Kluyveromyces lactis: one gene and its partners. The protein of the gene in region 2 purifies or fractionates together with the protein of the main gene of each other region. This does not show direct contact. Links are inferred from orthologs where the notes say so. Each region holds a gene or a part of one and is shown on either strand. Other genes may lie near its edges.

The links.
Region 1: the proteins of SMB1 (region 2) and PRP42 purify together in Saccharomyces cerevisiae (affinity purification with mass spectrometry; 3 studies listed by BioGRID). This does not show direct contact. The link is inferred for Kluyveromyces lactis from reciprocal best matches to the Saccharomyces cerevisiae genes SMB1 and PRP42.
Region 3: the proteins of SMB1 (region 2) and PRP46 purify together in Saccharomyces cerevisiae (affinity purification with mass spectrometry; 3 studies listed by BioGRID). This does not show direct contact. The link is inferred for Kluyveromyces lactis from reciprocal best matches to the Saccharomyces cerevisiae genes SMB1 and PRP46.
Region 4: the proteins of SMB1 (region 2) and LSM4 purify together in Saccharomyces cerevisiae (affinity purification with mass spectrometry; 3 studies listed by BioGRID). This does not show direct contact. The link is inferred for Kluyveromyces lactis from reciprocal best matches to the Saccharomyces cerevisiae genes SMB1 and LSM4.
Region 5: the proteins of SMB1 (region 2) and CLF1 purify together in Saccharomyces cerevisiae (affinity purification with mass spectrometry; 4 studies listed by BioGRID). This does not show direct contact. The link is inferred for Kluyveromyces lactis from reciprocal best matches to the Saccharomyces cerevisiae genes SMB1 and CLF1.
Region 6: the proteins of SMB1 (region 2) and HSH155 purify together in Saccharomyces cerevisiae (affinity purification with mass spectrometry; 4 studies listed by BioGRID). This does not show direct contact. The link is inferred for Kluyveromyces lactis from reciprocal best matches to the Saccharomyces cerevisiae genes SMB1 and HSH155.
Region 7: the proteins of SMB1 (region 2) and RSE1 purify together in Saccharomyces cerevisiae (affinity purification with mass spectrometry; 4 studies listed by BioGRID). This does not show direct contact. The link is inferred for Kluyveromyces lactis from reciprocal best matches to the Saccharomyces cerevisiae genes SMB1 and RSE1.

The regions. Positions count from the first base shown.
Region 1 is NC_006039.1:1,318,829-1,323,409, forward strand, and holds PRP42 (mRNA splicing protein PRP42), read left to right. Parts: upstream 1-1,865; coding exon 1,866-3,515; downstream 3,516-4,581. Other genes in the region: HEM3 (hydroxymethylbilane synthase), read left to right, coding at 398-1,381; YCX1 (Ycx1p), read right to left, coding at 3,535-4,581. UniProt on the Saccharomyces cerevisiae protein: Essential component of the U1 snRNP particle, which recognizes and binds the 5'-splice site of pre-mRNA. Together with other non-snRNP factors, U1 snRNP forms the spliceosomal commitment complex, that targets pre-mRNA to the splicing pathway.
Region 2 is NC_006038.1:47,539-50,766, forward strand, and holds SMB1 (mRNA splicing protein SMB1), read right to left. Parts: upstream 1,561-3,228; coding exon 985-1,560; downstream 1-984. Other genes in the region: CHZ1 (Chz1p), read left to right, coding at 1,997-2,515; Rab family GTPase YPT31, read right to left, coding at 2,855-3,228. UniProt on the Saccharomyces cerevisiae protein: Plays a role in pre-mRNA splicing as a core component of the spliceosomal U1, U2, U4 and U5 small nuclear ribonucleoproteins (snRNPs), the building blocks of the spliceosome.
Region 3 is NC_006042.1:1,033,622-1,037,616, forward strand, and holds PRP46 (mRNA splicing protein PRP46), read right to left. Parts: upstream 2,392-3,995; coding exon 1,087-2,391; downstream 1-1,086. Other genes in the region: NuA4 histone acetyltransferase complex catalytic subunit ESA1, read right to left, coding at 1-722; pseudouridine synthase PUS7, read left to right, coding at 2,653-3,995. UniProt on the Saccharomyces cerevisiae protein: Involved in pre-mRNA splicing. May also be required for cell cycle progression at G2/M.
Region 4 is NC_006041.1:1,855,004-1,858,179, reverse strand, and holds LSM4 (U6 snRNA complex subunit LSM4), read right to left. Parts: upstream 1,794-3,176; coding exon 1,242-1,793; downstream 1-1,241. Other genes in the region: TMN3 (Tmn3p), read left to right, coding at 1-754; SBF complex DNA-binding subunit SWI4, read left to right, coding at 2,857-3,176. UniProt on the Saccharomyces cerevisiae protein: Component of LSm protein complexes, which are involved in RNA processing and may function in a chaperone-like manner. Component of the cytoplasmic LSM1-LSM7 complex which is involved in mRNA degradation by activating the decapping step.
Region 5 is NC_006042.1:1,643,912-1,648,764, reverse strand, and holds CLF1 (Clf1p), read right to left. Parts: upstream 3,174-4,853; coding exon 1,119-3,173; downstream 1-1,118. Other genes in the region: mRNA splicing protein MSL5, read left to right, coding at 1-1,017; NEDD8 family protein RUB1, read right to left, coding at 3,528-3,612, 3,714-3,862; MTQ2 (S-adenosylmethionine-dependent methyltransferase), read left to right, coding at 4,120-4,788; DOP1 (Dop1p), read right to left, coding at 4,840-4,853. UniProt on the Saccharomyces cerevisiae protein: Involved in pre-mRNA splicing and cell cycle progression. Required for the spliceosome assembly by promoting the functional integration of the U4/U6.U5 tri-snRNP particle into the U1-, U2-dependent pre-spliceosome.
Region 6 is NC_006037.1:833,853-839,044, forward strand, and holds HSH155 (U2 snRNP complex subunit HSH155), read left to right. Parts: upstream 1-1,800; coding exon 1,801-4,665; downstream 4,666-5,192. Other genes in the region: GPI-anchor transamidase subunit GPI16, read right to left, coding at 1-1,534; APL6 (AP-3 complex subunit beta), read right to left, coding at 4,740-5,192. UniProt on the Saccharomyces cerevisiae protein: Contacts pre-mRNA on both sides of the branch site early in spliceosome assembly.
Region 7 is NC_006037.1:720,417-725,589, forward strand, and holds the start of RSE1 (U2 snRNP complex subunit RSE1), read left to right. Parts: upstream 1-1,800; coding exon 1,801-5,173. Other genes in the region: GSF2 (Gsf2p), read right to left, coding at 1-566. UniProt on the Saccharomyces cerevisiae protein: Involved in G2/M transition. Required for pre-mRNA splicing and endoplasmic reticulum (ER) to Golgi secretion pathway. U2 snRNPs associated protein required for the pre-spliceosome assembly.

The DNA of each region.
Region 1 (4,581 bases), on a different chromosome or scaffold from region 2:
GCTGCTAATATTGGTGGACCCGTGAAATTCAACTGGTTGGTGTTGAATAGCATTTCGGATAGTTGTAATAAGATTTAAAAAAAGAAAGGTTGTTTATCCTTTGTCTTTACATTAGGATATTAAAGTTAAACTCTTTAATTAACAACCTCAGTCAGAATCCACCGTTCTTGTAAATATAAAGGGATTCTATTGATTTCGTGTCTGATTGCTAGTCATTGAAGTGTTTTTAACTCTTATAAAGTTCCTGTTCGGATTAAAATACCTGTATTATAGACAGTTTGGTCTCCATCTCTATTCAATCATTTAACAAAAGGGACTCAGCTTTAAAAGTGAAAGATAACATCGTACATTCATTAAAGTGTTGTACTGGGTTTTAGTTATATATTAAGCTATCATAATGGAATCTAAAGAAACTGTTCGTATTGGTGGCAGACGTTCGAAGTTGGCTGTTGTTCAGTCTGAGCAAGTCAAAGTCATGATTGAGTCGAAATTTTCCCATATCGAATGTCCACTTCTATCTGTACACACTCTTGGCGACCAAGTTCAGTCTAAGCCCTTGTATTCTTTTGGTGGGAAGGCTGTGTGGACGAAAGAACTAGAAGATTTATTGTACAAAGATGATGAATCTCGTATCGATCTGATTGTTCATTCATTGAAAGATATGCCAACTCTTCTACCTGATGGATTCGAATTAGGCGGTATCACGAAACGTGTAGATCCTACAGATGCTCTAGTCATGCCAATTGGTTCTCCGTACAGTAGCTTGTCAGAGTTGCCTGACGGCTCGGTGGTCGGAACTTCATCAGTAAGAAGATCTGCTCAATTAAAGAGAAAATTTCCAAACCTGAAATTCGAAAGTATCAGAGGTAATATTCAAACCAGGCTGGCGAAATTAGATGATCCAGAGACTCCTTACAAATGTATCGTTTTGGCCAGTGCCGGCCTAATGAGAAGTGGACTTGATTCTAGAATTACCCAGCGTTTTAATGCTGACACAATGTGCTACGCAGTCGGTCAAGGTGCGCTTGGTATTGAAATCAGAAAAGATGACGAGAAGATGAAAAAAATTCTAAAAGAAATTTGTGATCCTTCGACGACTATCTGCTGTCTAGCCGAGCGTTCTTTACTCAGAACTCTAGAAGGTGGTTGCTCAGTTCCAATTGGTGTTGTATCCAACTACGACGAAAGTACAAAAGTGTTAACCTTAAAAGGTATTGTTATCAACGTCGAAGGTACTGAATGGGTAGAAATCGAACATAAGGTCACCATTTCTAACGAAAGGGAAGATAGTATAAATTGTGGTAAAGAACTTGCTGCTAAACTAACCCAAAATGGTGCCAAAGAGATCTTAGACTCTATCAATCTTGACAAAATCACTTAATGACGAACATTCCTTCTAAAACACGAGAGTGGAAGAAAATTGAATGGGCATGAACTCTCGGCATTCAATATAAACACCCTTTTCCCTTGCCTTATAATTCACTTATTAATGTCTTCTCTTGTTTCCGTTTACGCTTTTAATTTTATCCTGATGTATGAATTTGCATATTTACTTATTCAAATAATGTTTAATCATAGAAAAAACATGCACTTAATTAAGACCCTTTTTGCATAAAACAAACCTATATATATACTGCGATGAAGCAATGAATTGGAATGAGTTCCGAACAAAGATCTCTTTGCCATGTCAGTTGTAGGTCTGTTCAATTATTTCTTTGTTTATAGATGCAAAATAGAAAAATGACCATTATCAAGAACATGAAATATATACACGTAGTTTAACTCATGAGCCAACATAACAAAGTAGAGCACGCAGCTAAACGCACTGAAATCATCGTTGCTCTGCCAGTACTGTGAAAAAGGAAATGGAAGATGATCTTAATCTATTAGGTGATCAAAAGCTATCTGAATTCAGTCTCTTAATATGCAAATATCCAAAAAGTTTGCACCATTGGGAGAATCTTTTGAATCATTTATTGCTGAAGGCATCACCTATCTCAAAATCTATTAATAAAGACCTTCTTCAGCTAGTACGATCGACATATGAATCATTACTCTACCAGTTCCCCTTTTTGGAGAATTATCATGTCGAATACGGACTATTGGAGTATAAACTAGGGAATTTTGGTAAGTTTCACGCTATATTCGAGAATGCTCTTCAGTATTTCAACAATAGGTCATTGTTAATATGGGTAGAATACTTGAAGATCTGCAATAAAATTATGCCCAGTGATAAGCAACTTTTCCAAAAATATGCCTTTGCGGAATCCTACATTGGATTGCATTTCTTCGGTGCTGAATTTTGGCACATGTATCTTAACGAAATAAAACTGCGATGCAAGACACCGCAACATTACATTCGAACGTTAAGAAAAGTGATAGAAATACCGTTATATGAATATTCCAGTTTTTATGATTTGTGGCTACAAACCATTGAAGATGTTAAAGATCTTTCACAATTAAGGTTCTATGCGGAAGATAAAGAGCTATGGAAAAAGTTGAAGATAGACACACAATTGAATGGTCGCAGAGGCCCACATTTGCAAGTCGCCAAGAAAGCTTTGAAGAAAGTTTCTAAAGAGTTATTCCTTGTCGTACAGTATGAAGTTATGGAGATATATGAATTGTTTGAAAGTAAGATCACCAAAAGATACTACATGTCTGCGGAAGAACTTATTCCACACCAGGAAATCATCGTCTGGACGAAATATTTCGAATATATCAGGGAAAAGAAAATTTCAGACCTAATCAAGCTTCAGTTTCAGCGATCTGTGCTCCCTTTAGCTCATTATGACCATATATGGTTGCAGTACGCCAACTATTTAATTGATGATTTGAACGATTTCATTGGTGCCAAAAACGTGATGTTACAGGCTTTATCCTACGTTCACAAGCGTTCCAGGATTGTCACAATGTTATCCTCGGTTCTCATTAGATTAGGGCAGATTTCAGAACTCCATCAATTATATGATGATATTTCACTCGCATTCTCAAATGATCTAACTACTTCCGATGATTTCGAAATATTCATTGACTACATACAATTCAACTTGTTCTTGAGTTCTGCCAATTCAAAAAGTCGCTTCAGTGGTTTAACAAACAACATCGAATTCTCCGACAATTTACTGGATGTATTGATGAAAAAGGCAAGTAAAGAAGATGATCATAACAGACAATACATTTTATTGAACATGGTAAATGAAATGTACGAGCGTTTTCCGCGTGCTTTAGTTGAAACTAAAGTTTATCAACACATAATCAATAGCAAATGGAAATCGTTCCTGGAAAATCCAAAGTTCTGGTACCTTTATTGTTCTCTAGTATGGTACGATAATAATATCACCTATTTAAAGAGGCGGAAGCATATTATAAATGATATCATTCCATCTGCTGCAAAGTATGGTAAGGCTGTTTTGTCTGAAGTAGAATTGTTTATTTCAAACTACTTGCCAGATGATATGGAACTCTTTACTGAAGCCTACACAAATCAGGGACAGATGAAAGTTCCTATTTAATTAGTTTATGTCTACAAGTTCACTTATTCAATTCAAAATAGACGTTTATAGTAGTGATAATTCCATATAGGAATAAGAGTAAACAGCCAACTCTCTTGTCTAACTTCCAATTATTTAGGGGGACCACAAAAATAAATATGCCAAACGCTATGACTATGCCGATACAATTGAAGACTAGTCCACGATTAACATCGAAATCTATGTGCCTACTCCATATTGCTGTACCTTCAGGGTATTCCCTCTGAAGAAGGACGAGCATGCCATCTACACCAACACCAAATAGGAAATATAGTAGAGGGCTACCAAAACAGGAACCCAATGCAATCTCCAATACTCCAATTCTGGTGAATGTGACATTAGAGACCAAATCACCAATAGAATTTCCCCACGCAAAAACTGTCAAACCAAGTATAGCTTCTGAGAGATTGAACGTCTCCGCCCAATTCGTTAAAATGTCAAGCACCAACCCAACAACAAATGATATGGAAGAAATTGAAAGAACAAATCCAAATAAAGAGATATATTTTTCCTTGACCGTTAGTTTCCATTTGAAGAACATCAAAAGTAAAATACAGGATACAATTAAGCCAAGAGTAAATAACCAAATGTTAAATTCACGTTGTACCAACAGAAGAGTCAAGAACGGGGAGAATGCACACTGACAATAGTACGCAGCTTTGAAAAAGTTACTCCCTGACATTGACGAATAGTGAAGGGGTATTATAAGAGTCAGAAAGAAAACAATTGGTGTGGTGATGAGAATTATTGCTAGTTCGAAATTCGAAGTCGCAAAATTTGGATCAGTTAGATATCTGAACACCCTTAACTTGGACTCCCACTGATCCTCTGGTTCTGCTGAAATTCCGTTATCAAGTTGTAAGTTCAATGCAGACATGTCATCCAACATACTTGATTGTTCCGTCATCAAGCGTATATTATCTGCACTGGCTGATCTTAGTGTCTCCATCCGGTCCTTTGGTCTCAAAAGGCTCTCATCACTAATTGGGGAATTCAATTCAAGGTCTGATTTATGATATAAATGTTGCGCCTGTGGACTGAATAGGGA
Region 2 (3,228 bases):
TCACTCTGTGATGGATCTTCTCTTTCCTGATAAGGCTTTTGAAAGGATTATGTTTCACATTTAAGTTAATAGGAACTAAACGATTCAGGAAAGAGACGAAAGAAAGATAGTGGGGGGAAGACATGACAAATCGTGGTAACTACCCATATATATATATGTATGTATATTTAAGTACACGGTGTATTATGATGATGATGATGATTACGGTGCTTTGGTAAGTTAAAGTGGGTTGGATTTCCACCATCTTACGACAAAGACTGAACAGCTGGACAATTAGAAATTAATGACGAGACTCTATGAAAGCAACGGAGCTTGAATTTGCACAAAGATTTTTTTTTTATTCAGGTAGATTACTCCAGGGAGAATAATTTTTCCGAAACAATCAATGGTAATTTCTGGGGGAAATTAGTGGAAGCCTCACACGGAAAATCTCGAAGTGGTTTTTCCGGGATGCTTGAACAATCAGTAGGACTATTTCTCCGGATTCCTATAAAAAAAACACACACTCATGATATCGTGGCATGCGATATATTTGTTGTTTTTGCGAAACTTGCAAACTCTAATTCTTGCCCGTTCTCAGCTGAGAGATATTCCGCACCATGATTGTCCAGTTGGAAGCCATATTTAACACATAACATTTCTTTTGTCCGCAGGGCTATGGTGGGGTCATGGGGTATATCTGGAGGTTTCGTATAGGCATTTGGTGGGGTGGTTGAAAAGGGAATGAGGTGGATAATCATATTTCGCACAGGCTTTTAACGTTGCGCAGTACAGGGATATCATTACACTGGATAAAGCTAGATAAATTCTATATCTTCTTGTTCTAGTCGTTACAGTGGGATATCCAAAGTCCTCTGCGTGTACGTAAGAGGTAACTAAAGACATATCTATCAACATGTCTCGGATAATTATAGCTAAGATCGGTGATCGTAGCACCAAAACAATTTTTTTTATATCAATAAGTATGACAAGTTGTTCGCTGGTTTAGTTTCTTTTTTTGAAGCCTGGAGGGGCTTGGAACCGGCTGGGGCGTACCTGACTATTAGAATTAAACCTACTGGGAGCTCCAGAATTCGTATTGATAGGTTTATGACTTGGCTTCGTAACTCTATTTGAACTTTCTGAGTTAGTTGAAGTTATATTAGATCCATTCGTTCCAACGTTCATCTTGTTAGAAGTCTTCCCTTGACGAGCCTTTTTCGCATTATCTAATTTTTTTGCATTCTTCTTCTGGACTTCGATTCGTTCCTTCTTAGAGAGTTGGGGAGGTGACTCAACCGAGGTACTCAACACATGCTCACCCCGTAAAATTATTAGTCCAAAAGTCCTTCTTTCGACTTGCACATTGCTTGACAAGTTTCCTCCACTTTTAAGTACTTCTATGATTTGTTTATGAGGCATGCGTTCCTCTACACAATCTCCCATTACAAGGTTCATATATGCATCAAAAGCCATAAGTTGGCCAATATAAACCCTTCCGTCATGGGTAGCGACTCGTATTCTATAATCTATCAAATCTGATAGCTTCGTTTCCTTCTTTTTAACTTCAACTTGCGACATCGTCCTTGTATCTTTTGTATGATATGCTTAGAGATATAACTATTCTTCTTGGTGAACAAAGAAAGTGAAAAAGACTGTAAACTCGATTGTAAGAGGTATCCTTATATCATGCACAAAAAAGCGGTCCGTAGCAGTGATTCTTTATAGGACCAACGCAAGTTACTCATTGATCGTGAAACTAGTTAATGTTTTAATTTTCGATACAACATGATAGTTAGAATTCATCCACTATGCGGCTATGAAAAAAAATGATCACGTGGAAAATTATGTTTCTTTGGGATTTGAGATAATATGAATTATATTTGGTTCGCAAGATGCGAAAAGGAAACAAATACTGGTAAGCATCTTTAGATCAAAAAAAGCATTGCGTGAGCCTAGGTCGTACTCCTCGAACATCAGCACACTAATCATATCAACAGATACAAAGTTTGCAAATATGGCTGAAGAAATTAAGGATAAGCAAGAATTTCAAATAGGTGCAGAAGAGCCTGACTCTTCCAACGTTGCTTCACAAGCTAAAAGAAGTGCTGAAAGTGAGCTTGCTTCTACCGCTGATGCCAACGATAAGAAATCTAAAAAGAAGAGAAGAAGAAGAAACTATGATGATTTGGATGAAAAAATTGCTCAAGAAGACAAGGCATCTGCTACTTCTGGTGCTAACAAGGAAGAAGATAGTGAAAGTGAAGTCGATGACGAAAAATTAGATCAAATGATGGTAAAAGAAGATGAAGAAGAAGACGACCTTTCAGAAATCGATAGTTCCAATATTATAACTACTGGTAGGAGAACTCGTGGTAAGATTATTGATTATAAAAAGACTGCCGAGAAATTGGAAAAAAATGGTGAGGTTGGCAAGGATGATGATGATGATGAAGACGATGAAGAAAATGACGAAGAGTTCAAGGATCCAGCTGCTCCTGCCCCTGCCCCTGCTAGTCCGACTGAACCCAAATAGAAATTTGAATTAAAAATTTACTCAAGCGCATATAAAAGTTTGTAGTTTCACTAAATCTCCATGTTTGACATTATGGTAGTGTTTCATTTAAAAGAACAATGGATACGACGCAATGAACTGAGAAGGTATTTTGCAGTTAAGAAGTTTCAGGATGTCCTTCCAAACAGCTAGTATTTGCATAATTATGGCAGTCAATGTTATATACATAAAACAAGTGTCTAACTTAATCGGGATAAATGTCCCAGTCGATGATAATTCTGCTTCCCTTTTTCTTTCCGGGGCTTATACTTTCTATATAAACACCCTATAAGGAATGACCATAATACACGTTTAGAATTCCTAACAGCAGTTGTTTGTACTCTTTTTGTGTTTTTCGTTTGGTGCCGGTGTCAAAGAGATCGTAGGTCCCTTTGGAGCGTTGGCATTGTTTCCTGAGGCGTCATTCAAGTCTAGTTGATTTTTGGAAATCATTTGGTAGATAGCAGTAATCAATGCTCTGAACGCTTCGTCAACATTGTCAGCATTCAATGCACTAGTTTCCGTGAAAAGAAGTTGATTTTCTTGAGCATAATTCCTAGCCTCATCTGTTGGAACCGCACGTTTATGATCCAAATCAGATTTATTACCAATGAGTCCAACAGCGACATTTTCATCGGCATTTTGTTTCAATTCAGCCAACCAGTGGTTACAATTTTCGTAGGAACTTGATTTAG
Region 3 (3,995 bases), on a different chromosome or scaffold from region 2:
CATGTCCTCTGTTTCCGACCATCAATTTCAAAGAAGGAAACATAGTCATCTCTATATATCTCGTTACCTGGAGGATGTCGTAGAGTACATTTCTTTCTGTATCGTTCATATTGTTTCTTTGATCCGAAATATTGTAGGGAAAAATCATCGATATATACCACATCCTCATCAGTCAACTCTATTGGATAAGGTGAAAAGTACCATGGCTCTATTTCATATTTGCCCATAATCACCTTGTTCAAATTTCTAACTCTAGCCACCTCATTCTGATTCTGTGTCATTGACCCCGATGTACGAAGCTTCTTTATTTCATCTTCTCTGGAAATATCTTCATTAGGAATCCCTTGTACATTCAAATTATCCAAATCCATCACATCCCCACCATCCGGAGTAGCACTGGCTGCTTGTGGTGTAGCACTTTTATTCTGTTGCTGCTTCTTTTTCTTCGAGTCTTTCTTCTCTTCAAGCTCTTTAGGCCTAGGAAAAATGACTTCCTTGTCTATCTGTAACCTATCAGCAGTGATCCATTCATCTAGACGTTTATTGAAGTCTTCATAATGCACGTAGAACTTAGGTGGATCTCTTCTGCTGTTAATGGATAGAATTTCAGCAAGACGATCTTGACCATCTTTTAGTACCCATGACTTGCATCCAACGAAAATCTCATCGATGCTGTCAACCTTCTGGGGAATCCCAGGTTCCTTTTCTTCGCCGTGACTCATGTATTAGCGAGCTCGCCCAAAATATTTGTTAAACAGTTGCCTTGCCTTACTAGTTCCTCTTACAGAGGTGCTCTGTTTTTGGATTTGGTTTATTGCGTAACTAATAAGTTCAAATATTTTGAAGATGCTAAATTTCAGTTAATTTATTCAGATTACCGTATTAAAGCAAACACCATGCTTGAACAAACATACAAGAAAACCTGACGTTCCCTGTCCTTGACTACGTGACTGTAATCATATGACAGTTAGAGCAAACCTCGCAATTAATGCAGACTGAAATATTCTAGATAGATGGAAAACGGGGACCTAATAGAGTTAAACTACAAACTTCTACATAAGTCGCTGCAAGTAGACACCAGCTAGATTAGAATCTTTGAGATATTAACGTGGGATTCCACGGCAAGCCAGGGAATGTATCTTCTGTAGCATCAGGGACTTGCTTCCATATTTTGATGCTTTTGTCTCCTTCCCCTGTGATGAGTCTTGTTCCTGTGACATCAAAGGTGCTGCATAAAATCGATCGCTCACTTTCAAGTGAGCCAGCAACTTCAGTTGTCATCATACTTTGGTATTTGTGTCCTGTTTTGTAATCGTAAAAGCACAAAGTACCGTCATCTCCACCAGCTAATAGTACATTATCGTGATTAATTGATACGGTATTCAAAATCCCAGTGTTCTGGGATTGAAAGTTGGTTAATAGCTGTCCTTCGGGCAATTTCCAGGATCTGACGTCGTTCGTAGATACACTGGCAAAGCTAAACTCTGCTGGGTGTAGCGTCAAGTCTCTGATGTTTCTACTATGGTGCGTTAAAACTTTGCTTGCCTTCCCTGCAATGATATCCCAAAGTCTAACTGTTGCATCCCCGGAACAACTGATTATTTGTGGGTCAACGGGAAGGCATTTGACTTTATTTATAGGGCTTTTATGACCGGGCAGAACCATTATCTCAGATCTTGATCGTATATCCCACAACCTTACTACAGCATCACGACCAGCAGTAGCTATTATATCAAGGCTCGGATGAACATCAACGGTATGCACGCCAGATAAATGACCGTGAAAATCCCTAATTGCAGTATTTCTTTCTAGATCCCAACATTTTACAAGTTTATCTTCGCTTGCTGAGAACATATAAGGATGTCTCTTTGAGATAGCAATATCTCGAACACTCATTACATGCCCGATTAGAGTAATTTTCAACTTTCCCGCAGCTAAATCCCAGATTTTAATGGTTGTATCGTTGCTACCAGTAGCAAACCATTCATTGTCAACGGGGTCCACGCATACACATCTTACCCATCCAGTATGACCATTTATTACCTTACTGAGTTTCCATGGTGCATGCCATTGCGGTTTATAACTTCGAGTCTTTTCATAACGTTCCATCAATGAAATCTGCTGATGTGGCTGTTGGAACACTCTTCGTACTAGTTGGTCGCCTGGTTTTGTGGTATGTTTGACTAATGCTTGAGAGCTTTCGTTTGCAACAGTTTTCGACACCTCAACTAATTCACTGTACCTTTCTAAAACAGTCTTTTCTTGATCCAGGCACTTCTGTAACGACTCAGGTAAATAATCAGCATGTTTAAATTCATTATTCCACCGAGTTTGAACGTAAACATCATCTGCTACCTTCGAAGGTTCAGAGCTACGGCTGGATGTATTCATTGGTACTTATTAGTTGTCTATCAGTTCGATTAAGTCGTGTAACTCTCTTTCATCTTTGTATATGTCACTTCGTTAACTTTTCATAATATCCATCATACAAAACGGTTCTTTTCGTTTCTTGAAAAATTTCGAGCTCATCTCATCTCATCTCATCACATTGAAGCAGAAGTCAGTTGTTCAAATCTGGAAGCTGCGCTTCTTAATTGCTTATAACAAGTACCAGGTATTAGTACTCTCGTGTTAAAGTATAGTATTGGTATAATGTCAGACCAATCTTTGAAAAGAGAGTCCGAAGCTGCTGCCCAGCAAGAAGATATTAAGAGGACAAAAGTTGGTGAAGGTATAAATGAAGGTATAAACAATAACAACATCACTGAAAAGGATGTTGGTATCACGCATTACTTATCAATGGATAATGTTGGTTTCAATGGTCAGATCAAACAAAGGTACACTGACTTTTTAGTCAATGAAATCACCAAGCAAGGCGAAGTTGTGCATTTGACTGACAAAGGTTTTAATATGCCAAAGAAGCCAAAGCCAACGAGAGAACAAATCGAGCAATCGCAAAAAGAAGAACTTGAGAAACGCCAAGGATTTAAGGTGGATGAAGGAATTAGAAATGAACTTGTTGAACTTTTGGGAGAAGAGGATGTTCAAAAAATTGAAGCTGTGTACCGCTCAAATAAAAAGATTGAAACATCGAAGGCATTCGATGATAAACTTGAAAGGACTAAAATACATCAACTGCTACGTAGAGCTTTCGACAACAAGTTAGAATCTGTAACGACGGATTCAAACCATTTCATTGTTGGAATGGCTTCTCGCCAAACACGTGTTAGCAAAGAAGAATTGATCGAACAAACTAAGGATGCAAACGGTGTCGAAAACTGGGGTTATGGTCCATCAAAATCGTTTATTCATTTTACTGTCTATAAGGAAAACAAAGATACTATGGATGTCGCTAATACTTTATCAAAATTCATGAGAATTCCAACAAGGTTGATCAGATTTTCTGGAACAAAGGATCGTAGGGCTGTCACTTGTCAAAGAATGTCTTTATCCAAAATTGGTTTGGACAGATTAAACGGACTAAACAAGGGCTTGAAGGGTGTCGTTCTAGGTGGCTACAAATTCGAAGATGAGCCATTGAACTTGGGAGATCTACAGGGAAACGAATTCACTATTGCTATCAGAGATGTTTCATTGAAGAATGAAGGCGATGATTTGGATGATATCCTAGCCAATGGCATGAAATCCTTGGAACAAAATGGGTTCATCAATTATTTCGGTATGCAAAGATTTGGTACGTTCAGTGTTTCAACGCATCAAATTGGGCAAGTCCTATTATCAGGTAACTGGAAACAAGCTGTTGATTTGATCATGGCTGAACAAGAAAATGTTTTGCCAATTTCCAAAGAAGCTAGAAGAATTTGGGCACAAACCAGGAACCCAATCTATGCAGCCAAAGCAATGCCACATCAGTGTTTGGCAGAAAATGCCATTCTCAATGCACTATGTCATGAGGAGAAATGTGAAACATCAAACGATTACCCTATTAGCTCATATCACAATGCTATTCTAAAGATTCCTAGAAACTTGAGAAC
Region 4 (3,176 bases), on a different chromosome or scaffold from region 2:
TTTGTTATTGAATTACATACTTAAGGCCAATAATGCTGCAAATACTTTACCCCATGGTACCGTTGCATTACTATTTGGTGCTTATTTCATTGTTTGCGTTCCAATATCAATCATTGGTGGGAAATGTGCCGATAGGTTTTTAAAAGTTAACTCCACAAATACTTTGCTTAATAGCTTTGCATTGGCAGAAGTGAACAAACATGACACTAGGCCTTTGTACGTTGAGAGTAAGAACTCTATTCCGTTCGTCTTAAAAAATCCTATTGCGATCACTCTCACCTTTGGACTTATTCCATTTGCTCTAATATACGTGGAGTTGTTATTTGCTTACAAATCACTTTGGCTACAAAAGACTACTCTGTATTACTTATACGGATTCCTTTTGAGTAATATTGTTATCGTTTGCATATGTATCTGCCTTCTATCCATTATTGGTTGTTACATTCATCTAAACTATGGTAATGATTCTTTGAATTTCAAATGGGACAACGTTATAGGAAGGGTTCTAGAAGCATGTCATTCATGGAGATGGAAGGCATTTCATATGGGTGGTGCAGTTGCATGGTATATGGAAGCGTACTCTATTTTGTATTTGATTTTTGTTGCCAGATACAGAGATTTCATCTCATCTTTCCTATTTGTCTGTTATAGTACGTTATTCAACATTCTCTGCTGGACAGCATTTGGATCTTTAAGTTACCTAAGCTCATTGTGGTTCATCGGTAAGCTGAATGAATATAACAAGGCTAAATAAGTTCGCCTCTTATATTTAAAGTGAGGCCAAAAAAAAAAAGTCCGGCTCTCTTCAGGAGTCTCATATTTCTCCTATATAATACTGCATATCTAGCATGGACTTTCTAAACCAAGCATTTTTGTATAGAGTAATTTAAAAAATAACAACATTTGATCTTTTCCACGGTACCCATGCTCACATACTCTTAATATATAAAGCACTGATATACTGCTTTGAACTTAAGGTTCACTAACTCTGAATCATAATTAATAGGTAGTTCTTTTAATTTCATAACCCAAATTCAGTTTTAAATCTCAAAAGTGTGAAAGGAGTAACGAGAAAAAGGTTTAGGATATCGCATCGAATGCAATCGAAACAGATGTTTTTATAGACTTTTGACCGTCCAAGCCAACAAAATAGTCTCTTTAACCGCAATAAAAGTGATTGAATATGTAACCATGTAGACACACAAATACTTAAGAATTAAATGCTGAGAAAAGAGGTTAAATCAAAATTGTGGAGTTTGATTACTATTGTTTGACGCCTGCGAATACGAAAGCTGTGGATTGGATGATGCATCGTATTGTGATCTATTTTGAATATTATAACGACGAGATCCTGCATTGTTATGGCTGTGAGTATTGTTATTATTATTATTATTATTATTATTGTTGTTGTTGTAATCCCTTCTGTTACCTGAGTTTTGATAGTTTCTTCTACCACCTCTTCTGTTACCATCCCTATTCTGATAATAATTATTGTTATTATTGTAGTTGTTATTTCTTCTTCTATCGTCTTTACCGCCTCTGTTTTGACCCCATTGTTGTTTTACCTTGTCTATGATATCATCTTGCAAATTAACATACTTGATGAAAGAACCTTTCAAATAGAAGCTTGGTAATTTCAAAGTCTCTCCACTAGCTACATGAGTGACATTGGAAAGTGTCAAGTTCATCCAATTGTCTACATCAGATAGCGTACCTTCCACAGTTTCTCCATTTTTTAGTTCAACATGCATTGTTTGACCCTTTGCATTGGTCAATAAATATAATGGAAGCATTTTATGTTATAACTTATTGATCTGTTTTACCAATTATAGTGTGCCCGTGCTGTCGTATTTCTTTAGGTATCTCAAACCGTAGTAACTTAATCGTAGGAAAGGGTGGGGCCGGAACAATATACAATATACCAAAAAATTAGGACTCTGTCTGTCTGGAGAAGGAAAAATGTGAGGGAAAAAAGTATGAATTAGACTTTGTTGCTTATCTGCGTATCTGTAGTTTGAGTTATGTAACACTCCCTAGTAGGACGAACCAAATGCATACAATTGCATTGACAATATTTAAATTCCAATTACAATATAACTTCAGTTTTTCCAAATTTCATTGAGCTGGAAAAAGCATTCTCGACATTTCATAAAATTCATTTACCGGGTAACACTTAAAAGTTTCGAATCACGTGAGTGTCCCGGGTAATACTGACACGTGAATATAATCTGATTATTGATTTTTCTCTTATTTTTTCACTTTTAAGACTGTTTCTGCCCCCCTACTCCTTCGTGTCATACGGACCCTTCTAGGCGTTTTGAAAGGTTGCCTCAGCTTTGAATATGGGAACACACTGGAGTGAGGTTTGAAATGTGAGATCTGAGATTTTTTTTTTGGTGAGGCATCTAATCTTTCTTTTCCCAATTGGGTAAAGAGATTTGATCACAGTTTAAAATAAAGATTATAATCTTTTGAAAGCAGACTTTCTCACGCACTTTACAATGTCATTTATGATTTGTGTATACCTTTGTTATTAACAGTGTCTGTAGGCTACGTGAACTTAGCTAAATATCAGAGCATTCCAGTTGAGATTGATTTGGTCTGCTACTCCGATATCTGGATACATTTTTGGGCACTGGTGGAAAAGCTAGAATAACCGTAACTGCGTGGTATATTTTACGTTGAATTTTACAAAGTGAGCGAGCTTGAGATCACATTGCCAGGAGCAGAAGCAGAAGCAGCAGCAGAAGGTGACACTCGACTCGAAACGCTTTGTTGACTCTGGCGTGCTTTTCTTTGCTTTGTTTTGTCTAAAACAATTAGGATTTCGTGTGCATTTATTTCTTTCGTGTAATTATGGAACAACACTTGTCGCATCATAGCGGCAACGTTTTTGACAAGGAATCTATCCTTCAAATGCACATGGGCACTCATCATCATTCTGAGAATGATACACTTTTGAAACCGTTCAATTCTAATTTATTAGGAGCTAATAGTGGTGCTACCAATAATTCTTCTTCATCCACGGGAGCATCCTCTTCGATGATCGATGAAAGGCAGATCGATGGGAGTTTAAAGAAAATCAGTGAGGAACCTACTATGGCGGAGACAAGTGGTTATGACAGCGAATCGGAAACTTTCATTGAAGTTGCTACATACGCGGGCGTTGATGTATA
Region 5 (4,853 bases), on a different chromosome or scaffold from region 2:
AGAAGACCTACAAGGTTTCAAGACAAATATTACATCCCTACGGAGGATTATCCGGATATAAATTTTGTGGGGCTATTACTAGGGCCTCGTGGTAATACTTTGAAGAAGCTTCAACAAGAATCGGGATGTAAGATTTCCATCAGAGGACGAGGATCCGTCAGATCAGGTAAAGCTGCTGCAGACCTACCGAAAGGTGCAATGAATATGAATGAGCCATTGCACTGCATCATTATTGCAGATGTAGAGGACAAAATACCATTAGGAATCAAGGCCTGTGAAAGTATAGTCGTCAAGGCGATCACTTCACCTGAAGGTCAAAATGATTTGAAGCGAGGTCAGTTGAGAGAGCTTGCTGTTTTGAATGGTACACTAAGAGAAGATAACTATGTACAAACATTCGGAAGAAAGAGAATTGGAATAGAGGTCGCTTCCGACGCAGCCAAAAGATTCAAAAATGCAGAATCTAACATCCACGACCAAAGCACTATCGTAAATACTCATAGACTAACCCCTATGATGCAAATTTCTATTGATGGACTAGGAGGTGATGGGATTACTGCTACAGCGGGCTCCAACTCTTCTGTAGGTTCACCTTCTTCTGTTTCAGCCAGATCCGAATCTCTGGCTGCAGAAAATTCAACGTCTGGAATAGGTATCACTGAAGGAAACTTAAATATTGCTACTCCAGGAATGGCACCCCCAGGTTTATCTCCTCCCGGAATGGCAGCACCAGGAATGGCAGCACCAGGAATGGCAGCACCAGGATTGGCAGCACCAGGATTGGCAGCACCAGGATTGGCAGCACCAGGATTGGCAGCACCAGGATTGGCAGCACCAGGATTGGCAGCACCAGGATTGGCAGCAGCACCAGGCAACGTTCCTCCAGGATTAATGCCCCCAGGATCTGTACCGACAATGAATGCACCTGGGCTTACCCCTTCTACGATATCAACACCCAGTTCGATACCGTCAAACCAGTTGCCACAAAGTTTTACCGATAATGAAACGAATAATTAATACAATTCGTATTTTTTCTCAATAGCCTATATGCCAACCTGATTAAATGCGTGTTCTAAATCTACAATTGTATTATCTGTATATGAATATAAAGTTACATATCAGCTGGAATTTTTCTCCCATTGTTTTGCCAAAGCTAGAAGATTTCGAGCAATAGGAGGTTGAGCAACACGATCGTCCGGAAAATCCAATTTATATGACTCTTGCTCAATGTTATCGATAGTAACTTTTTCCCTAACCAAACTTGGTTGTCTAGCATTGACCTTTTCCAAAGTTTCTTGATTACCATGAACTTTCTCATACTCCAGGAGAGATTGTAAAACTTGCTGGCGTTTCTTATCTTCATTATGTTCTTTGAAATATGAAATTGCCTTCTCAAAAATAGCCCTGGTGTGATGCTTATTCTCAGGTGTAATTTCAAAACTGAACTCCTCTTCGCCATCGTCGTCAAAATTCCCGTCTTGATGAGATTGTTGATAGGCTATTAGTTGGGTCTCAGTTGGAATAGTGCTCTCGAAAAGCGCCTGGTTTATCCATATGTTCACGTCATATCTACTCAAAATCAAATACTTCTCGTACAACTCTCTAGCCTTTTCATATTCTGCTGCATCAGTTTCAAAAGCGATATAGCGCTGAATGACAATCAGCTGGTCCGATTCAGATAATCCAACATTATTGCTCATGGAGATATCATAGATCCCTCTTGATCTATCTTCATCTCCTAAATTTTCTTCTAATTCTGCATAATCCAACCATGATTGCACTGAACTAGGATTGAAATCGATGTATTTCTCGTATAGCTTTCTCACTCTATCAAACTCTTTTAGCCTTATCTCCAAATTGATGTAATATTTAAACACTTTTGGCTTGGGGGACTTTCCTAAGCTCACACCCAGAATTTTTCTTGCTTTCAGCAAGTTGTTCTGCCTAATTTCGAATTCTGCATACATTATCCACAGTTTACCGAATGTAAACTTCTTATGTGGAATGATGTCGAGGATGTCTTGATAAACCGAGCGTATCGTAGGCAAATCATTAATGGTGAGCTCTAGATAGACCAAGTATCGTACGCAGATTCTTATGTACCTCTTCCAGCTCGAATCCTTTACCAGGGACTTCGGCTTTGCCAATTCAATGAACGACTGGAAAGCTGATGTCAATTGCTCTTGATATTTTTCCTCAACCAGGTCAATATAGACCCACCAAGTAGAATAATGATAGGGATCTGATTTTAGATATTGCTCGTACTCGGCTTTCCTTTTAGCGATTACTATGTCCTCCATATTTTTCGAAGAGCCGAACTTCTTCTCGAACTGAATCTGCTGTTCCTTTAATGCTTCAGAAATTGGCCATCTTTCAACTGCTAGTCGGTATAACGTTCTAGATCGTTCATACTCTCCCTGAGAAGCTTCCCAGGAAGCGAAGCTACCAATAACTCGTTCAATATCTACCAGTGGTGTTCCGCTGAAACTTGTGAGTGTGTCTAGCGCGAATGAGAACACTGTTCGTACGGATGATATATCTCCATGAGTTTGTTCAAAACGAACCCATTTCAACCAGGTATCTATTTGAGGATGGACTAGAACAAACTTCGAGTAAATGTTCCTGACATTTTCAAAATTCAAGCACCTTGTTTCGAACTCGATGAAGGAGTCCCATGCATCGGGACCAGGTTCAAATGAACACCATCTTGTATAAATGCCTCGTACAATACCCTGATTTCCCAAAGATTCTTCCAATAAAAGATATTTGAACCAGAGCTTATCAACACGAGGAAGAGCGTTTGTTGCTCTGTCTAACAAGTTCCTTGCATGGTTGATATTTTTCCATTTGATTTCACTGTCGATGTATTGAATCCATAGTGGAATAAACCCATGATCAACAAGAAGAGCGCGTTCATAAATGGACCTAGCTCTTCGTATATCTTTCTGATCAAATTCAAATTGAGCATACCTCATCCATTGACGAAGGTCTAACCTATTTCTTTTCAAAACTGTCTCATACTCTGTTCTTTTCCTTCGTTGCCAGTCTTTCAGTTCTTCCAAATCTAATATATCTGCCTTCGTAGTAGCTGCAATCTGCTTCTTTTGGCTAAAGGCATCCTTCAAAATATTATCGGCAGTGATGGCTTCATTGGATAAACTATTGTCACCCATGTTACAGTATAGTCAGGTAAGTTATCCGTGTTTTTCTTACTTTTGTTTGCATCGTTGTCGTTAAGTTCATCTGTTTCTACAATTATAATGTTCGCACTAAATTTGATATCTGAATCATTATGTATTTATAAGGTTCATTCATGCATACAAGGAAAAGCAACAAGCATGTGTTACATCCTTCCTTTGTTTGATAATTGGACGGTCGTGTAAATGTAAATTATGTCATTCATAGTGTTAGCTTCCAATAATTATAGTCGTTTTATTAAATGCAGAGTAATTCCTCCAGGTATTTATCTGCAAAATACTTATACACATACGTATCTTGAGGTTTCGCAATGCAATGACACATGGCTCTCAACAACCGCCTCTTAAAGTTAGAACAAGATGTAAAAGAGATCCATCTTGCAAGTCGGCACTGCCGATTGTTGCGTTATCATCTCTGATTTAAAGATAGCATTACTTACTAGTTAGTAAAAGAGTCCCTACATTAATTTGATATCAAACTCTTCTCAGTTCTGAATTATCAGTTAATTAACATACATTTGTTTGCCCTGGAAGATCAACTTCTGCTGTGATGGTGGAATACCCTCTTTTTCTTCTAATAGCTCTTTGATATGATAGACCGTTTCTGAACTTTGAACATCTACGGAGATTTCCTTCCCTGTTAATGTCTTGACCTTTAATTGCATCTTTCTCAACCACAAACAAGCAACTGATTGTCGATTCTCTGAAAATGGTGATTAATAGTTGTATCAAACAGTAGACTAGTTGTTAAGCTTCAATTTAATTACTTTCTTTTAGATGACCTTTTGCATACGTTATTGTTCAATATCAACTTTTCAAATACAATATTATATATGCGATGACTTCCATGTTTGAAAAGATACAGGTGCAGAACAGATATTGATGCGAGCTATAGCTCATCAGGGCTTAGGATAACAGGGCGATGCTAGCTACACCATACGTCTCTTATGATTATAATAAAGTATACGAGCCAAGCGAGGACTCTTTTCTTTTATTAGATGCATTAGAAGCTGATCTGAGTTGGTTGAATAACAGGTTCAATGACGCAGTACCATTGACTATAGAAATTGGTTCTGGTTCTGGGATAGTCTCTACGTTTCTTATGCAAAATGGTATACCAAACGCCAATGGACTTTATTTGGCAACTGATTTGAACCCTTGGGCATTGGACGCTACCTTAGACACTTGTTCGAAGAATGGTTGCAAGAATAGCCATTTTGATGTATTACAAACAGACCTTACGTCTTCAATAAGGGAAAATGAGGTCGACCTGCTTGTCTTTAATCCACCATATGTACCTGCAGAAACTGTACCAGAACTGCCTCATTCAAATCATGCTGTTCGTGATGATGAGTGGCTCTTTCTAGCATTGGATGGTGGTGATGATGGGATGGTGGTCACACAGAGACTATTGAATGGATTGGACAGAATTCTTAGCTGCAACGGAGTAGCGTACATATTGTTTTGTGCTAGAAATAAACCTGAAACTGTGGCAAGTAAGATGAAGTTCAGCGGATGGAAAAGTGAATTAGTGATACACAGAAAAGCAGGGTGGGAAGTATTAAGTGTTTATAAATTTTATAGAAACTGATGAACGCAAATGTGAGCTTCTCATTGCTTAAATGAAAATATTTATTGAAGATCACTTAATGAATT
Region 6 (5,192 bases), on a different chromosome or scaffold from region 2:
TAGGCGGGATAATCATTGCCCTTTCCAAATGTGTCGGTCTCTCACGATCTCTTGCCGGGGAATAGAAGGTAGATTTTACTACTGAATCTAGAGTTAGTTCAGGATCATCACTCTCTATGGCTAAGGAGGACAAGTATACTCCCATGAACCAAGGCAAGGATTCAAAATAAACTAATTCCACAGCTTCGTTGGAAGGATTACGAAATACTGATCTTAACCCGCCACGGTCTTGGCCATAACCAGTGAGAGCTCTGGAAACGTATATTGGAGTCTTTTTGGAGGGTAGTACACTCTTAGAGTCTGTCGTTTCCAAGCGAACATCATGTGGTTTGTTATTGTTGAGATCGAAACAGTTGTCGTCGGTTGCAAAATATGATTCGTCGACCTGTATCATAACGTCCCAATGTGAGGGAACGTGAACACATATTTTTGAGCTTTGTTCGCCAAGCAAGCTGCCTCCACGGATTTTCTTACCAAATAGTTTTGAGATGCTGAAACTAACTTCTTTGCTTTGAGGTAACGGGAAACATTGGAACGCGTCGTGTGGTCTATTCGTGTCACAACGAAGTTCGTCGCCTGGTAAAGGCTTCGGAATTGGTCTGTCAGCTCTGGCCAAAGCATTTGGTACGTTGACCACTGTTTCGATAAATTCTTCCATAACAAAGTGGCAATTGGCAGTTGATTCGTCACAAACAGTATTGACATCAATCGACAGACTGTGCCAATTTGAATCAAAGATCTTGTGGCCATCTAACAAAGAGGAGATACCAGATTTCCCTCTTGTTGGTAAAAGTTTTACAAATGGGGTCAAATTTTCAGTACAAACCGGTTCGTTGGCTAAAGTTGCTCTCATGAGGTAAAGATGGTTGCTTTGATTCAGTAGTGGGATCGCTTCGTCTTCTTTCGGTAAGAATGATGATACCGGAAACGTCGTCTTTGAAGTGTCAATGAAATTGATGGAAGCACAGAACAATCCACTTAACGAATTGGCCAACGTTATCCATGATTTCAACGCTTCTTCCTTCGATGGTGCTTCCACAATAGCCCATAATTCCACACCTGTTCCTCCAGATTTCAACCCGTTGTGTGGAAGCTGGCCCCATTCTTGTGAATCCCATAGCCCATGTGTAAATCTCAAGTGTAACTGTCTGGTATTAGTCTGTGACATAATGGGCCCAACGGGCTTCGGGAAAACTGTGTGATGAGAGTATTCACTGGATTCGTGCTGGTCTCTATCTATACCAAATGGCTCTGATTGCATATAGAACTGAAAACTTGCAAGCAAAAAGTTGTTAGGCAAGGGAGTTAGATCCAGATGCTCTCGAAAATTATACTCAATAGGATGCTCTAGTGAAAGAAACTTCGAGGACTGTGTTATTCTCGATGATTCCCCAGGCTCTGCATTCCAGCTTTCATCTATAACATCTTGCTGAACTGATTCTGTTTCGTTGTCAACTGGATTAACTTCAAAGTCTACTTCAGCCGTCACGATGGCTGCTAGAAGCAAAACTGGAATCCAATTTTGTAACCTCATGCGGTATGGACCCAGAGTATAATACTTTTCTAAAAGTTAGGCTATTTTCTGGCCTCTTAACTAAACTATCCTCTTTTCTCTGTTGAGAAGTATCGTTCTTTGTTTTGTATATGTGTTTATAATTAAAGATTCGAGTTACAACTTAGTAACAATTTTGATGTCAAGAACCTTTGAATCAAAAGGAAGAAAGGTATAACTGAAAGGCAAGCACCAATCAGGATCTTTATTGCTATTGCCGAGTTTGGTATTAAACAGCTGTACTTAAAATGGAAGCTATCAAGTTCGAAAAGTCGGGCCAGCGACATTCTCTTACAGGACAATACACTGCTCCCAGAGCCATATTGGAATCGACTGTAGGGAAAGATGAGGGGGATGATGAGTTGACAGCCAACCAGAAGCAACGAAGCTTGTATAATAAACAGTCTGATTATCATAAGAGAAGGTTCCTTAGGAATTTGGATGAAGAAGTGGATGAAGAGCAAGTGAAAGATGTGAAAAGAAGGAAAACCGATAAGGATGGTGATAAGGAAGAGGAAAGTGGCGGTGGATATACGATGCCCAAGACTTCGCAGCATATTATAACTGAGCTCTCGGAAGAGATGGTTACTGAAGTTCCAGGGGTACGTAATCTTCAGTTCTTTAAGCCTTCAGACAGACAACATTTCGCAATTTTGTTTGATGAAAGGTCTCCAGAAGATATGACTGAAGAGGAAAGGAAACAGAAACAGGTTTTAAAATTGGTACTTAAGGTGAAAAATGGGTTACCAAGCTCTAGGAAAATAGCTCTCAGAGCACTCACTCAAAAGGCACCCTCTTTCGGGGCACCATTGTTATTTGATTCGATCTTGCCCATTCTTCTCGATAAAACACTTGAAGATGAAGAGCATCAACTAATGTTGAAACTTATGGATAGAATTCTTTTCCAGCTCCAGGATTTGGTAAAACCATATACACATAAGCTCCTAATAGTATTATGTCCTATGCTTATAGATCCTGTGCCCTTGACTAGATCTACAGGTAGAGATATTATAACTACTTTGGCAAAAGCCGTGGGACTACCGACAATGATATACACAATGAGACCAGATCTCGACCATGAGGATGAGTATGTGCGAAACACGACGGCGAGAGCAATGGCCGTTGTATCGAAAGCCTTCGGGGTAAGTCAAACAATACCATTCCTACGATTGGTTTGTAGATCGAAAAAGAGCTGGAAGGCAAGACATACTGGGATAAAGATAATTCAGCAAATTGCTATTTTAGTAGGGATTGGTAGCTTACCATACCTCGACGATCTTATCGCATGTATAGAGAAGGGATTTCAAGATGAACATCCTCCAGTGAGAATCATAGCCGCTCAAACAGTGTCATCATTGGCACAAAGCTGCCAGCCATATGGTATTGAGCGCTTTAATCCGGTCCTCGAACCACTTTGGAGAGGTGTTAAACAAAACAGGGGAAGAGAACTAGCTGCATTTTTGAAGGCTCTAGGATTTCTCATTCCGTTGATGGATCCCGAATATGCGTCGTATTACGCTGAAGAAGTGATGAAGATTGTAAAGAGAGAATTCAATTCACCGAACGAAGATATGAAGAAAACGGTTCTATTTGTTATACAAAAGCTTTCCGTGACTGAAGGTGTAACACCTCAGTATCTGAGAAAAGAGCTAGCAGCAGAGTTTTTCAAACAATTTTGGGTTCGTAGATCGGCTTTGGATCGTCAACTCAACAACATAGTAACATTTACTACTGTTTTATTGGCTAATAAGACTGGAGCTGCATTCACGCTTGAAAAGCTTATATATCCATTAAAGGATGAATCTGAACCGTTCAGAACAATGGGTGCACATGCAGTTAACAGAGTTGTGAAAGCATTAGGAATGACAGATGTTGATGAAAGGCTTGAAGCGAGGTTGCTTGATGCTTTACTTATTGCATTCCAAGATCAAACGAATGGTGAGAGAATTGTCTACAGATCTATTGGAACTGTCGCCAAATCTTTGAATACCAGAATGAAACCGTATATTTCGCCGGTGTCAAGTATTATTCTAGAACATTTGAAACACAAAAAACCTTTGGTTAGAACACATGCGGCGAGTTTATGTGCCCTCTTGATCCCGGTTTTCAAACACTGTGAAGAAACAGCTCTTATCAATAAATTCAACATTATCCTTTTTGAATCGTTAGGCGAAGTTTATCCAGAGGTGTTAGCTGCAATCATTTCCGCAATGGACAAAGCTGCTGCACAGATAAGGCTAACTGACTTACAACCACCTCCGAATCAAATTTTACTATCATTGACACCAATTTTGAGAAACAACCATCCTTTAGTCCAGGAATCTACTGTTAAACTTGTTGGAAGAATTGCCAGGCGTGGGCCTGAATATGTTTCTCCTAAAGAATGGATGCGCATTTGTTCTGAGCTTTTGGAAATGTTAAAAAGTCCTGTGAAGTCCATCAGGGTGGCAGCGAACAGAACATTTGGATATATTGCCAAAGCGATAGGACCTCAGGATGTTTTGGTAACGTTGTTAAATAATTTGAAGGTGCAAGAACGTCAACTTCGTGTTAACACCTCTATTGCAATTGGTATCGTTGCTAAGACATGTGGGCCATTTGTTGTCATACCTGCATTGATGAATGAATACAGAACACCTGACACAAACGTACAGAACGGTATTTTAAAGGCACTTGCCTTTATTTTAGAATACATTGGTCCCATGTCTAAGGATTACATTTATCCACTTATACCGTTGTTGCAGGATGCTCTAACAGATAGGGACTTGGTTCATCGACAAACTGCAGCAACCTGCATAAAGCATTTAGCTTTCAATTGTGCAGGAAGAGGATTAGAGGACGCGTTCATCCATTGCATGAATTTATTATTGCCAAACGTCTTTGAAACTTCACCTCATGTTATTTCCAGAATCCTAGAGGGGCTAGAAGGACTAAGAATGGCTCTAGGACCAGGTGTTTCTATGAATTATGCCTGGGGAGGTTTATTTCATCCTGCTAAGAATGTTCGGAACGCATATTGGAAACTATATAACGGAGCATACGTCGCTCAACCAGATGCTTTGGTTCCGTACTACCCTGTCAATGAGGTAGAAGAGCTTAACTTGTTATTATAACTAGAAAATTGCAGTAATTATTATGTAGTTAAAAATTAAAGATTCTATTGGTTTTAAACTAAGTTAGTGATCTCTCAAGGATCGGAAGAAGTAGAACTCCTGTCGTCTTCCTCACCTTCTTCAATATCATCGGTATCATCACTTTCATCGCTGCTTGATTCTTCTAATTGGGCAACATCAGATTCCGTTTCTGATTCTTCCTCTATAACGATCTTCGTTTTCTTCGGTTTCTCTGGGATATCTGCAAAGAATTCATCCAAACTTTGTAGTTTGTAAGTTTTCCCTTTTGAGGATGTGAAAGTTTTTGGCTCTGGACTTGATGATTTGCTGGATATTGGCGAGGAGGCCTTAGGTTGCTGGTAATTAGCCCTAGTCCTACTAGCGAAGAAAGTATTAGATGAAATGCTAGATTTATTCTTCATGAAATTGTTAGTTTCAACAGGCGTTCTGTCCACCTCAGGTACTTCGGTTGACCACTGGGGAACCTTTAATGAATTCAATACTTCTGGGGAAAGCTCAAGGTGTGC
Region 7 (5,173 bases), on a different chromosome or scaffold from region 2:
ATATGGAAAACGAAGAATAACCATTGAGCAGTGACACTAACAGAGTTGATTTCAAGTTCTTCTCTTAATTTTTCAGCTACGAATGTTAGACCAGCGTTATCAGCGAGACTAGCAAATCTCTTAGAAAGTTGATTTGTAAGACAGATACCTGGCGTTGGAGAAATACAATCTGGTAAATCAGTGTACAACCATACCAGCATTATAGTTACAAAAGTCCAGATTGTTTTCCAGTCCTTCTCCCATTTTGGTAATACTAATTGACCAGGCCACAATTGTTCCCAAACGGTTTTCTTTGAAACTTCCAAATCCTCTAAATACTCTGAATCATCTGCAGAGTAATCGAACAATAAACATCCATTCTCAGTTAAGAAACCAGGATGCATGGATTTCCTGAAACCAGATGGTTCGTTCTTATAAAAAATTGATGGCTTCAAAACCATAAACCTTGAAAGACCCTTTTCCTTATTAAATATTAAGGCAATTTTTTGTTCTAAAGTATCATCTTTTTGTACTTGAAACGCATAATCGTACTCTAAATCATCATTCATACGCACGTAAACCTCCATTGCGACTAGTTTGCTATTGGTTATTGATGTTAATTTTCCCACAAAACCGGAAATATTCGCCTTCCTCTCTGATAAATCTTGAAAAAGTACTGAGTATAGTAACTAGCACTGCTTTGTTGTAATCTGATCTTAACCTTATACCGTCTCTGGTTGGTTCGGATGGCAAATTTGCTTTGGTGTAGTAAATTACACTCTAGAGTTCAGCCTTTTATCCTAGAAGAAAACATTTCGTACTTACCAAGTTTTAGCATATGTCATGTTTCCGTTATTATATATTATTAAGGTTTTTCCTGGTGAAAAGGAACGGACACACAGAGAGGAAGAAGAAAAAAATAAACACACACACAGAGCTGATCTGCCAATATGAGTCCACCCGATATCTGTATGCGGCCGATTAATATTTCCCCAGTAACAATGTATAAATCAACGTGTAGAGACAGACAAAGAGTTTTCTCATACTTGCTCCTCTGACCAGAAGAGAAAGTCAAAAAAACCAATACAGAGTGTCTACCAGTCAAGCTATGGCATTTGAATCCTCATACGGTGTTTTTCTTTTCTGAAGAAGAGAAACACCTACTTAGAGTTAGTAGCGTAATACGCCTTGTGCTTTGAACTTGGTGAACCATATTTACGTTTCTGCACCATCAGGTGCACATTTGTGGGGTTACCAAAACGTGATACCGTTTAACGACACCAGTGCCAGAGCCAGTGCCGGTAAGGGAACAAGTAGTATCGAATTACATGCTGATCTCGTAATGGATTAAAACAATGACTGTGTGCCTTTCTTTCTCAACGTACAAGCATGCCTGTACGCTCTCTTCATCGTAAGTTTTTCCGTCCATATGGAGCGATAAACAGCCTTTGCGTATGTTTCTGTGTTTTCTTATTCCGCTTTGAACGAGCACTTCGCTCCTGCTCCAACAGAAGTTTTTCCGAAACAATGTGGAGTCTCATGTCATTCTGGTCACGTGATCGCATCTTTTCGTGTGACGTGATGTCAGGGTAACATGTTGTTGACTTTTTGGGATTTGTTGGTCACGTGTAAGTTTTTGAAATAGTATTTCCTAACTTCTTCATAAGGGCGGCAAAAAACCAAATCTGAAAGTAAACAAAGTAACTAACAACAGCGCACTTCTTGAGTGCAAGTTGACGAACAACACTACTGATTACCATCAGTATACACCTCTGATCATCGTCTGAAGCGTGTGTTTAGTTACCCGCTAACGAAGATCGGATGACTCAGGACTCTGAAGTGTTGCTATGGCACACTGTTTTACAACGACATAGGAACTACGTTCATTCCTGCATCGGTGATTTTACTTTGGATAGATCATCATTAGCGACAGCAGAAGCTGATACAACAAGTGTTAAGGGACCGAGGTCATCGAAGAAGCGGAAGGAACTGCAATTATGTCTAGCTACACAGGATTGTGTCGAATTGTACGATGTTAGCAATGGAACATTGGATGCGTTGGGTAAATGGCCTATAGCAGCTACTATTCTTTCTATGACCAAGTTGAATATGGATAGATGTTCACATACGATTTTGGTGTTGATAACTGATTCTGGGAATTTAACATTTTGGCAGTTTGAGAGGGATTCCGTGAGCGGGAAAGTGTACGTGCGTACTTTGGCAAACGAACCGATTTCCAGATCTGGGATCAGAAGGTTTGTACCTCAATATCAAATGGTTTCGGATCCACAGAGTAGATGTGTATTTTTCAGTGGGATTGAGCGTTCAAAGATGTGCGTGTTGGCTGACTGGCAACGTGGGAAATTGGTTGTTGGTTCTCCTATAGAGATTCAACGAAGTGATAGAATCACTTTGGCATCGGCAGCTTGTGATGTAAGTTTTGATAATCCGGTGAATGCTGCCATAGAGGTAGAATCTGGGACAAATGATTACTATTTGTCTTTTTATACAATGGATTTGGGTCTTAACACGTTGCTACTCCGGAAAGAGCATCTTTTAGAGGATAAATCCATCAATTTCGTTATGCAATGCCCAAATTTACAACAGTATAAGATTAAAACTAGACCGAATGATGAAACTGATCAAGATTCGGTAAATCCATTTGTTATTTGTGGTTATGATGGATACTTGACTCTGATAGACTTAGAAGGCTTTTATGAAGTGTCTGTTCAACTCCCCGTCAGAAAAACTGTTTCGTCAACTAATATCATCAACGGTACTATTCATAAATTGAAGAAAGATTTTTTCATCCTAATGCAGTCTAACCACGGAGATATGTACAAGGTCGGAATTATCCCTGATGAAGAAACTAAGGCGCCAGTTCTTGAAATTGCATACTTTGATACACTCCCCACTTCTGAAGACATCCACATTTTCAAGTCAGGTGCTCTTTTCAACGTATCAGAATTCGGGACCTCTTATTTAACACAGTTCGAAAGTCTTGGTGAAGATCTAGAAAAAATTACATCTTATACCCCGGGAAGGAGATCATTTATTGAAACAGAGTCCACTTTGAAAAACCTATCCATTCTTGACTCCTTAACTTCTTTAAATCCCTTGACGTCATTTCATGCATCAAATTCGACACCACTCACGATATTGGCTGCAGCCAATCAAACTGAGAATCTTGTTAAATTGACTTCTGCGGTTGATTTTGAAGAACTTATATCAACTACATTACCTAGAATACCATCAAAACTTTGGACCGTTAGAATTCCTAAAAACGAAACTCACAGTCTGATATTTCTTTCTATGGAAACCTCAACGACCATCTTGAAGATCCATGAGGGAACTGTCGAAGATTTTGGTGGAGATTCAAACCCATTTATTTTGAACAAACCATCATTGTTTGTTGGCGCTATGGTTCAAAGAAGTATTATTCAAGTTACTCGGGATTGTCTTTTACAAATTATTGAAATGCATGATGGTCCATACACCAAAAAACTTGAATGGTATCCACCAGCTGGTGTTGGCATCGTGACAGCATTTTGTAATGAGACACAGTTAGTTGTCGCTTTAACAAATCATGAAATATGCTATTTTGAAATCATAGAAGATTCGTTAAACGAATTACAGGATCGAGTGGAGATGGATTCTACAGTGAATTCTATTGCATTGCTCGCCGGTCAAAAGTCAGGCTATTGTGTATTAGGATGTGAAGATTCTAGTCTGCAGATTCTCAACTTACAGAGTAAACATCCAGATTTTTTCACTATCTGTGCTATTCAGTCACTAATATCAAAACCGCACTCTCTACTTTTCATGCGGGACACGTCGGATCTTAAGATCCACGTAGGTATGAAAAGTGGTGTTTATCTGTCATCTAAACTCAATATCAATGATGGCACAGTGTTCGATGTACGTACTAGATTTGTCGGAACGAAGCCCGTCCAGGTAAATCTCTTGGACAATATAGATATCAATCACAAAGATGATGATGATGATGAACCTGGAGAAAATGATTCAAAAATAGACGATTTCAAGAAGAAGATTTCGGATTTCACTCCACTAGTGGTATTGAATTCAAGCATATCTTGGGTAACTTACGAAATTGATGATAAAATCACATTACGTCCTTTGAAAACAGATGAGGGGATAACCTTGAAACATATAAATGCTTTTATCACGGATGATATCAAGCGCAACGGCTGCTGTTCCATAACCAGCAAAGGGCAACTCCTAATCGGCAAATTAGATAACTTTTTGTCCTGGAGTAACTGGTTCAATGAGAAAAAGTATACCCTTGTTAATGACGAACTTAAAAACGCTGGCAATGAAGAAGAGGATGAAGATGAGGATGAAGATGAGGATGAAGATGCAAGTGAGAAGTACGAAATCGTTGGTTATCAATCACAACGGATCCTTTCAGATACAACGGACAATTCGTTATCATATGTTATTTCAAAGACAGCTAATAAAGAAACCAGTCTATCAGCTATTCGCGATGATAAGCTATTGGCAACAAACAATGGGAATACGGTCGTGATTATTGCTAAAGAGGTCTTTAATGCTGTCTGTAGTTGCAATTTCGGTACAAATGTTAAATATATTGTCATATCTACTGAATCAGGGAAATTTATTGTGATTCAAATTCGAGTGAAGAACAACGTTCTTGAAACCCAATACATTCATGAAACAATGGTGCATAGTAAGGTCAATGCCATGGTTTCGTTTGGAGATAAATTGGCATGTTGCATTCTTGGCAATGTTGTCCTATTTGGACTAGGTAAAAAACAATTGTTGAGGAAAAGCATCACCGAAATGCCACCATATATTACCCAAGTAACTGCATTAGACCAATGGGATGGAACCATGTTAGCAGTTGGTGATATTAGAGAATCTGTTACGATCTTCAAGTATGATATAGATAATAACAGCTTCATTGGAGTAGCAGATGACATTGTGAAAAGGCATGTTACTACAGTCAAGTTCATAGATGTATCGAGTGTTATCGGTGGGGATAGGTTTGGTAACTGTTGGGTCCTTAGGGTGAACTATGAGAGCGACACTAGAGTCGCATCTAACATTAAAGCTTGCCAATATACCTTAGAAACGTTGTGCCATATGTACATGAACGATACTCCGATGAAATTTGAGATTGTGAACCATATGAATATGTCCGATCGACCAGCCA